Danio rerio: one gene and its partner. The protein of the gene in region 1 purifies or fractionates together with the protein of each later gene. This does not show direct contact. Links are inferred from orthologs where the notes say so. Each region holds a gene or a part of one and is shown on either strand. Other genes may lie near its edges.

Region 1 (5,047 bases):
TAGAAATTCGATAATCCTAAATTACCTAAAAGAGAAAAAGTTTAATCAAATAAACATCTGAGTTTTTTTAACGGTTATGTGCCTTTTTATACAGTGTATGTAAACTTCTGGTTTCAACTGTATTTGGACTAGAAACAAGACAAAAATTATTATTATTATTATTATTATTATTATTATTTTTGCATAAATCATAATTAAATGGAATTCTGTAGCTCCCTGTCAACTATAAGTAAGACTCAACATTGCATATCTATGCGATGTGAGTATTGTGCAAATTGGGATATCCATGCTGAAACGATATTGTGCAATCCTAATGTTTACATTGTCAAGCCAAGTGGACAAGTTCAAAATGATTGATCTTTTTTCACACCTTTAGTTTCATCGATAGATGTTTGATAGTATTTCACCTCAGTTTACATCACAGTCTGGAAGAAAAGATCTGTCGTTACTTTCACTACATCAACATTAAAAGAAGTGTTTTTTAGGTGGAAATTTCCCAAACTTCATTTCTCATTGTCTTTTCTCTTCTCCAGGTTAGTGGAGTTCACACGGGTGGATGGCACTGCAGGCAGGAGAGTGAAGCCGTACATCATCGATCTGGGTTCTGGTAACGGCACCTACCTGAACAATCAGCGCATCGAACCTCAGCGTTACTACGAGCTCAAAGAGAAGGACGTGCTGAAGTTCGGCTTCAGCAGCAGAGAGTATGTGCTCCTTCACGAGTTCTCTGACACAACCGAGGTCGATGCGAAGAAGAAGGAGGAAGAAGAAGAGGAGGATGAAGGGCTGGATGAGTAGCTCTCTCCTCAAAGTTTACCAAAGTAACCTGTTTGTGCTGGACTGAAAGTTTTTTTTCAAACAGGACGAGCATGAACTGCTCATTTATTCATAATTTCCTTCTGAACAATGAAACGATGATGCTTCAGCCTGCCCAAGTTGTCTGTATGACTTATTCTCAGGTGGATAGCTTTTGTATCCCGTCAAACTGTGTACATTGTTGTCCCTAAAAGCAAGTGCTCAAAGCCAGAACTAATGAATCTGTCTTTAAAAACATATATTTTGGATACGCTTGAAAAAGAGTGAATATAATGTTCGTTTTGGTTACTGTAAATATACTGGATTTATCTGAAGTGACTGCTCGTTTAATGTGTTTTAGTTTGTAGTATTTGTGATTTAGATGCGTACTATGTTCTGGTCAGTTGAACCAGTCTCCTAGCGCCAGCATCTTCACGATCATTCAGAAAATACTGAGAATAATTTGAATAGTGCTACAGAAAAGATGCCATCTTTCTTTACATATTTTCTATTCTCTCACAGTGCATTCATATTTGATGATAAGATGTTTTGTATTGTAAAATAAAGATGGATAATAATGAATGTTTGTATTTTGATGGACTGCACACATTGAATTTGATGGTGTGAACGCTATCAAATGTGTTGAAAGTTAAGAAATTCCTTTTTCGTTTTTATAGGGAATTTAATAGGTATTTAATTTTTCAGTTTACATAAATATAATAAATTCGGTATTTAAAATGCATTTATAACGTAGAAATTAAAGTTTGTCCTTCAAATACCGTCTTTTTAAAAAATTTTGATTGTTAAAAAAAATGTATACTCCTGAAGAAAATGCCTCGGTTACATTTTGAGGTACCTTTATTTTGAAGTCGCCACATCCGGTTTGCATCACAATTCAAGCGTCATGTTGTCGTGAGTAAGGTAGTTCGCTGACTTTAAAGGTTTGTGTACATGCGTTTTTGTGAACTGTATGTCTGTGTCGTGATCTAATACCTGTTTATTTCTTCGATTTACATCAATTGTCGCTTATGGGGGTTTTGTTTTCGTCTCTAAAGTTGTTTGTTTACCGGTAGTTCACAGACCGCGCGAATCTGCATCATGTTAATGTCACAGCATCAGCGCTGTGGTTTTTGCGTTTAGAAAAAAAATAGTGATTGAGAATTAAATATAATTACTTAATGGTGATGTCCATTATTTATTTCAAGTACTTTTCGTTTTCCTTAAAGGGATAGTTCTGCGTTTTGTCATCAAGTACTCGCTCTCGTTTGGTTCCAGTGAGATTCTTCTGTGCAGATTGAATGCCATGTCCATATCCATCTCATGATAGAGAGAAAAAAACATTTAAGTCGCTGTTGAGTTTCCAAGTGTTTTCTGTAAGTTGATGACAGGTTGATCACCAGGATGAAATCAGCAAGACAATGATCTGAAACACCGCTAATAAAACTCAAACTGTTTCAGAAAAAGAAAATCAACCTGTAGAATGGCCCAGCCTATCACCTGACTTGAAACCAATATAAAATACAAATTAAAGATGAGTTTGGACCGACAAAACCCACAGAACCATCTACAGCTTCATTTTCTTTTTCTGAAACCGTTTGAGAGTTTCCTTGTCTGTGTTTTGGATCATTGTCCTGCTGAAATGTCCACTTTGGCTTCATTTCCATCATGCTAATGTAGATGTTGGACTGTAGCAGCTGATATTACTTTACAAAGATGAATGGTAGAGGGTTGCTGAATAACTACTGAGAGATTTCAGCTGCTGTCTGGGCTTTCACTGCCTATTTACACCTCTTTCTTCATGTGTTCAATACTTTTGCTTGTGTCATTTCATTACACAACTTAAATTAAAAACTAATTAATATTGTTTTCTTTGCATAAATATGTATTTCTTTGGTTATCAACATCTGTTGAAAATATCAAGTCAACAGCATCTTTAGCAATATGTTTTGTGAGAAAAAAGGTGATGTATTGAATATTTATTTTCCCCACTGTATATATATATATATATATATATATATATATATATATATATATATATATATATATATATATATATTTATATATATTTATATATATATATATTTATATATATATATATATATATATATATATATATATATATATATATATATATATATATTTATATATATATATATATATTTATATATATATATATATATATATATATATATATATATATATTTATATATATATATATATTTATATATATATATATATTTATATATATATATATATATTTATATATATATATATATATATTTATATATATATATATATTTATATATATATATATATATATATATATATATATATTTATATATATATATATATATATATATATATATATATATATATATATATATTTATATATATATATATATATATATATATATATATATATATATATATATATTTATATATATATATATATATATATATATATATATATATTTTTATATATATATATATATATATATATATATATATATATATATATATATAAATATATATATATATATATATATATATATATATATATATATATATATATATATATACTTTGCAAGAAAACTGCTTATACAAAGGCATATGTCATCATAGGAGATAGGTTTTTGAGTGAACTGACTCTTTAAAGTAAATATTGTATTTAAAATTAAAAAAAGAAAATCGGTAAATTTTCTGTGAATTTATTTACATTCAGGAAATCCATCAGACCTTCGTATGACAAGTATATTATAAGGAGCAACAAGTGTTATTTTTGCCTGTTGTGTATGTTTGGTTTTTCTTTTTTTTTAGAAAGCGACCATAACTGTCGACTTGGATTTTACAAATCACCAAAGACCATGAACTTAACTAAAACTCTTTCTTAACATTCTACTAAACAGTCAAGTCTTCATAAACTATAACATGATCAATTATGATTTGTATAATCCTGCCTCTTTCTCTTCTAGATGTAGCCTAGTTTGCTTCTTCACATAGAGGTGAACTTGTCTTCATCATGATGTCATCGGATCCTCCATCTCTGCGCTTCGGCCAGGTTGTGATTGGTCCGCCTGGTTCAGGTAAAACCACTTATTGTCGGGGCATGCAGGAGTTTCTGAGTCGCCTCGGGCGAAAGGTGGTCATTGTAAACCTCGATCCTGCCAACGAAGGCTTGCCTTATCCGTGTGCCGTGGACATAGCAGAGCTTGTAACTCTGGATGATGTGATGGACGGTCTAAAACTCGGCCCCAATGGTGGTCTCATCTACTCTATGGAATATTTAGAGGCAAATTTGGACTGGTTGGAAAACAAGCTGAAGCTGCACCATGACTGCTACTTTCTGTTTGACTGCCCAGGCCAAGTGGAACTGTACACTCATCACAATTCAGTGAAGAATATCTTTGCACAGCTGTCCAAGTGGAATTTCAGGGTACGTTCTTTTCTCTTTTGTATTTCTGATTTATTAGGGTGTATTCATTTGTTTGTTTTGATTTGCTTTCGGCAGCTGACTGCAGTGCATCTGGTGGATTCACATTACTGTGCTGATCCGGCTAAGTTCATCTCAGTGCTGTGCACATCTCTGTCCACCATGCTGCATGTTGAATTGCCACATGTAAATGTGCTGTCAAAAATGGACCTCATTGAGCAGTATGGAAAACTTGGTGAGTTGATATACTCGGGATTGATACAGAAATATAGCCAAGCATCTTGAGGATATTCTGCTGTTTGCAAAGAAAGTTTACTGTTACATTATATTATAATGAATTCTAGAATATCAATATATGCTATTGTATTAGTACAATTTTCTTGCAAAATACGTAACCATTTTTAAGTTTTATATATAACATGATGATATATATAGTGGGGAAAATAAATATTCAACACGTCACCTTTTTTCTCACAAAACATATTTTTAAAAATGCTGTTGACTTAAAATTTTTACCAGATGTTGATAACCAAACAAAAGCATATATGATATAAAAACAAATTTAATTAGCGTACAAATTAAGTTATGTGTAATTAAATGAAATGACACTGGAATAAGTATTGAACACATGAAGAAAGGAAGTGCAGACAGGCAGTTAAAGCCCAGACAGCAGCTGAAATCTCTCAGTAGTTTTTTAGCAACCCTCTGCCCTTCGTCATTGTAAATAAATATCAGCTGGAAATAAATTTCAGCAAGAAGATGATAAAAAACACAGCCAAGGAATCTCAAATGCTTTCGGAGAAAAAAAAAATCAAGCTGTAG
Region 2 (5,164 bases), on another chromosome or scaffold:
ATATAAATATGCAAGGAAAGTAACTCAAACATACATGTTATTATTACGAAAAGTGTCCTTGTTCCACTGTCCAAATTACAAATGTAATATTTTAAAACATTTAAAAGATTGATAAAAATTACCTACTGTTTTTTTATTGTCCCCAGTCTCTAACATTGCTTTTCACTGAAAAATTCATTCATTAATTCATTTTCTTGTCAGCTTAGTCCCTTTATTAATCCGGGGTCACCACAGCGGAATGAACCGCCAACTTATACAGCACATGTTTTTACGCAGCGGATGCCCTTCCAGCTGCAACCCATCTCAGGGAAACATACATACACACTCATACACTACGGACAAATTAGCTTACCCAATTCAACTGTACCGCATGTCTTTGGGCTGTGGGGGAAACCGGAGCACCAGGAGGAAACACACGGAGAACATGCAACACATGCAGAAACGCCAACTGACCCACCTGAGGCTCGAACCAGCTACTTTCTTGCTGTGAGGCGATAGCACTGCCTACTGCGCCACAGCATCGTCTTCACTGTAAAATATAATAATTAGAATATTTGCTTCAAATACATTTATTTAAAAAATTCTATACTTAGATAAAAGGAAATTATATATCCATTAAATAATATCCATTAAATAGTTGTTAAACAGTAAGTTGCATCATTTGGATCTTTGAAAGGCCATTGAAAGAGCAAAGATAATATATCTTGTTTTATTTTTATTTATTTTTTTACATATTTGCGGATATTGCAATGAAAACTGGAAATGTCATTTTAAAAATACTATCTTGTTACCTAAATTACTTCATAGAGGTAATTTGTTCAGTGCAAAATTTCTGATATTTGTTAAGTTGAGGGAGTTTGATAAGTTTCTTTGAGCTATTAGCATGTACAGCGTGTGGCTCAATTTCATTTACATGCAAATATTATGCTAGAAATTCAGTCCTGTTACTTTCAGTCCTGTTACTTATAAGAGTTACAGGAATGAGTAACAATAATGAAAAGCATCTTCTGATACTTAATAGAATGAACAGTTTTTATTATATTATTCATCTGATTTCCACACGTTATGGATGGAAATGTTGAAGTTGTAAGATATTTAAAGGAATAGTTTTCTCAGAAATGACAGTTCCACTACATGACACACACACACACACACACACACACACACACACTCTCTCTCTCTCTTTTCACTTACTGATTTGGTTTTCTTGTGAAAACTTTTTTTCCCTACAATTTACTCAGTTAAGTTCTGTACATCATATACTTAAATGTTAAGTAAATTATGTTATAAAAAACATGAATTTCAGGCCACAGTTTTCTTGAAAAAAGGGAAAGTGCCTTTGCATTCCTATAAAAATACATTTTTTTATGTAAATCGTGATTTTTTAAATACAAAAATCAAATGTTTGAAAGTGTAACAAACCATATTTTAAAAAGAAAATCACTTTCTTAAGAGGAAAACAAAGTAATTACCTGATAGACTTTTATTCATGCTTTTTAAAAGACTCGTTAGTTTGGGTAATATGACTGAAAAATGCATTCATCTGCCACATAATACCTTGTAAAAACTCAAATTAAGTCATTTTATGTGGACCAATACATATTTTGAAAAGTTAAGTATGTGTGTTATTAGATTCCGCCTTGAAAAGTAATTAAAAGAAGTTTAATTGTAAAGAGTTACAATAAGCAAAATGCATCCATTCGGTGGAATGGTCAATAATTACTCCCATGCTAATCACCATACTCAACTTTTACAAGCGATGGTCAAAATTAGATATATAATCCAACCATTTTGACCCAAAGTGTATTAAAAGACTCATAATAAAGGTACCTCTTAACTCTGTCGTTGTGTTGAAAATACTACGACCAGACTACGACACAATACTGCCCCCGGTCGTTATTCACTCAATATTACCCTTTTTCCCATGTCTTCCCATGTCATGCGCATGCGCAGTACAACGTGCGTCCATTAGTAGCATCGTTCGCTGCTGGTTTTGAAGCAGGATGAACGCGCCACCAGCATTCGAGTCTTTTTTGCTGTTTGAGGGAGAAAAGAAGTAAGTGCACTATAAAGCTGTCTTTGCTATTCAATTATACTAACATATTATACTAGCCTATAATAAGAGTAAATATTCAGTTGGAAGACAGGAGGGAGATTCAAAAGGCTTTAGCTTGTTGGCTAACGACAGGTTACGTTAGTCAGTCCATCTGAAAACAAAATACAACCTACTTCTGTTTACAGAGTGCTTTATACAATACAGCTTAAATCATATCGACGATTGATTCATTCACTATTTAAGTTTATTGTTCATTATTTTTGTATAAACGAATACAATTTCAGATGCTAAGCTGTTTGAATAAGACATGTAATACCAACATTTAGCTCAATTAAGTTTAAGTTGGTTAAGTGACCTTGTGAATCTAAATAAAAGTATTCGTTTTTAGACGTACTTTAGGTCATGATACCATGACATTTTTTGAATACCATGTAAATACCATAGTACATGTACAGTAATTGGTCTCAGCATCAAATTAAATAACAGAGGTAATACGTAACGTTAACATATAAAATTTATGCAAATAAGGTGTGCTTTAATGTTTTAAATAACTTTTAACTATAAAAATAAGATTGTCAAAAATATTAGTAAAATAACCTTCCATATAAATATGAATATATTTTTTAAAAAGTAAACCTTTATTGTAATCTACATTGATTAAAATATGCAGTAGTAAGTGCTTAAACTAAATTGTTTTGCCTTGTAAATGCCTCTTTCTGACAGATATGCTTGACAAATTTAAGTAAAATTGGTTTTGTATTCGCACATTTGGACTTTCTCCTTAATATAATTTCAGAAAAGTTTTATTTGCAAATTCTGAATAGAGAAATCATTAGCAGCCAATGACTATCAAAGTACAACATTGTTCAGTCAGGTAAATAGTACTTATGTTTTTGAGAAGTCATATTTGCAGGCTATTTTAGACTGAATATTCAAAGCAGTGTGATAAACAATATATGCACAGTGTTACAAGGTTTCACTGTTCAAAAATTACCAAATGTCTGAATATAAAACCAACTTTACCTCAATGCTTGACAATACTTTTTGGCATAAAAAAATATTTTTGCACTGAATGACATTTAAGTGAGCATCTTCTCTTAATAAGGGTTAAAATTATAGTAGGATAAAAAGATGATAAATATGATGATAAAGCTTATTATATTTTGTATATTTACCTAGAAAAACATTTTTCATCTCTGATCTACTTAACAAAGTGACATATTACTGCCAACATTGTACCATGATACCACAGGGTCTGCGGGGTCTTAAGAACTATTAAAAGTTGATTAATCAATGTAGAGAAATGTAAGGCCCTTAAAAAGTATTTTAAAATCCTAAATGCTATTTTGCAAGGTGTTAAATTTTATATAATTTTGATTGTGCAATGTAGGTATGGTTGTATGCTAAAGTTTGCCTGAATTAAATCTAAATGTCAGGATGCTGTGTAGTTTATGAAATCAATGAAATCCTGCTAGATTTGACATCATGCAGTTTTGTTTACTGCAGTTATCAAGGAAAAACCATTATTTCTGCAGTTCTATAGGCACCAACCTGCTGAATTAGCTATATTTAATAGATTTTAATTCAATATAATTATGTATATCAATATGTAAGTTTTTTACATTAATATTTAATAAATATACTGTAAGTTAAAATCTCTTTATTGTTTCCGATTGAAATCTTAAGTGATAATAAGGTCTTAAGGTCTTGTATGGAGAGAGTCTTAAAGGTATTGAAATTCACTCTCTGGTTCCTGTATATACTCTGTACCAAAACATTACTATTTTTAAAAGTAAGGGATTGCCTAAAATTTCTGTTCAACTTCTTTTTACAGGATCACAATAACCAAAGACACCAAGGTGCCGAATGCATGTCTGTTTACTCTAAATAAAGAGGATCACACACTGGGAAACATCATCCGATCGTAAGAGACCAAACTTTTGATACACTAAAACATTTTCAGATATTTATGTGGGTTTTGTAATCATCCTATATTTACATTAGAGCAATTCCATGCAAATGTCAACCTTGTCATGAAAAAGATTAGGTTTTAACTCTGTGGTTAGTTGTTTTGGAAAATATAAACAGATGTTTCAGTATAATGTTAACACATACTTTCTCTGTGAATGTGTTTTGAGATCTTACTGCAAATGTCACATTTGTAACATTGGAATTGCTCATTAGGCAGTTGCTGAAGGACCCCCAGGTGCTGTTTGCTGGATATAAGGTTCCTCATCCTCTGGAGCATAAGGTTGTGATCCGCGTTCAGACGACACCAGACTACAGTCCTCAGGAAGCCTTCACTAATGCCATCACGGATCTGATCAGTGAGCTGTCCCTGCTGGAGGAGCGATTTAGGGTATGTTCATGTGTTTGCATTGAGTAAAAAATGATTCCAGAACAAGCGCTCCTGAAAAAAATGCACTCTATAGCAGCACTGCAAAAGACAATTGAGGTAAAGTTGGTTTTGTATTCACACATTCAGACGTTCTACTTAATATTATAATTTCAGAAAAGTATTATTTGCAAATTCTAAATAGGGAAATCATATCAGCGTCCAATGGCTTTCAAAATGCAACATTGTTCATGATCAGTTAAATGGTGCTAATGTTGTTTTAAAGGGCACCTATGGTAACAAATCTACTTTTCAAGCTGTTTGGAAAGACGTGTGTAAGTAAAGTGTATACACCGTCATATTGGGGTGATATAAACACACCCAGTGTTTTTTTTTTTTTTTTTTCTTCAATTTAACAACATAAAAACGACAGACCAATTGGAGCAGTTTTTAGAGCGACCGCAACTTGATGTAAAAGTGTGGTCCCCCCGCCCACCAATATTGATTGACAGGCATGCGTAACCTAATCCTCAGTTTGTTGTTTCACGTCTGCCATTTTCAGTGTTTGAGTCAAGGCGATATCACCAAAGGAACACCCTTGCTTTATTGTTAGATGTAAGGCTCATTGGGCTCAACACAAGATCAATATTCTCCACATTATCGCTCTTATCAGAATTATTGGTTGTACCTTTAGGTTTGCAAACGTGTACTTTTCATTGCGTCTACCTTAAACTTCAGCCATTTCTTAACCGTTCTCAGGTTCACAGAAACTC

Evidence for each region. Proteins that work in one complex are often made in the same cells at the same time.
Region 2: the proteins of gpn2 (region 1) and polr2j purify together in Homo sapiens (affinity purification with mass spectrometry; 3 studies listed by BioGRID and IntAct, counting the BioPlex papers as one, with this or other methods). This does not show direct contact. The link is inferred for Danio rerio from reciprocal best matches to the Homo sapiens genes GPN2 and POLR2J.

The regions. Positions count from the first base shown.
Region 1 is NC_133191.1:37,154,401-37,159,447, forward strand, and holds the start of gpn2 (GPN-loop GTPase 2), read left to right. Parts: upstream 1-1,666; 5' UTR 1,667-1,736; intron 1,737-3,767; 5' UTR 3,768-3,814; coding exon 3,815-4,228; intron 4,229-4,303; coding exon 4,304-4,460; intron 4,461-5,047. UniProt on the Homo sapiens protein: Small GTPase required for proper localization of RNA polymerase II and III (RNAPII and RNAPIII). May act at an RNAP assembly step prior to nuclear import.
Region 2 is NC_133180.1:67,353,249-67,358,412, forward strand, and holds the start of polr2j (DNA-directed RNA polymerase II subunit RPB11-a), read left to right. Parts: upstream 1-1,967; 5' UTR 1,968-2,003; coding exon 2,004-2,056; intron 2,057-3,890; coding exon 3,891-3,980; intron 3,981-4,240; coding exon 4,241-4,415; exon of another isoform or gene 4,416-5,164. UniProt on the Homo sapiens protein: Core component of RNA polymerase II (Pol II), a DNA-dependent RNA polymerase which synthesizes mRNA precursors and many functional non-coding RNAs using the four ribonucleoside triphosphates as substrates.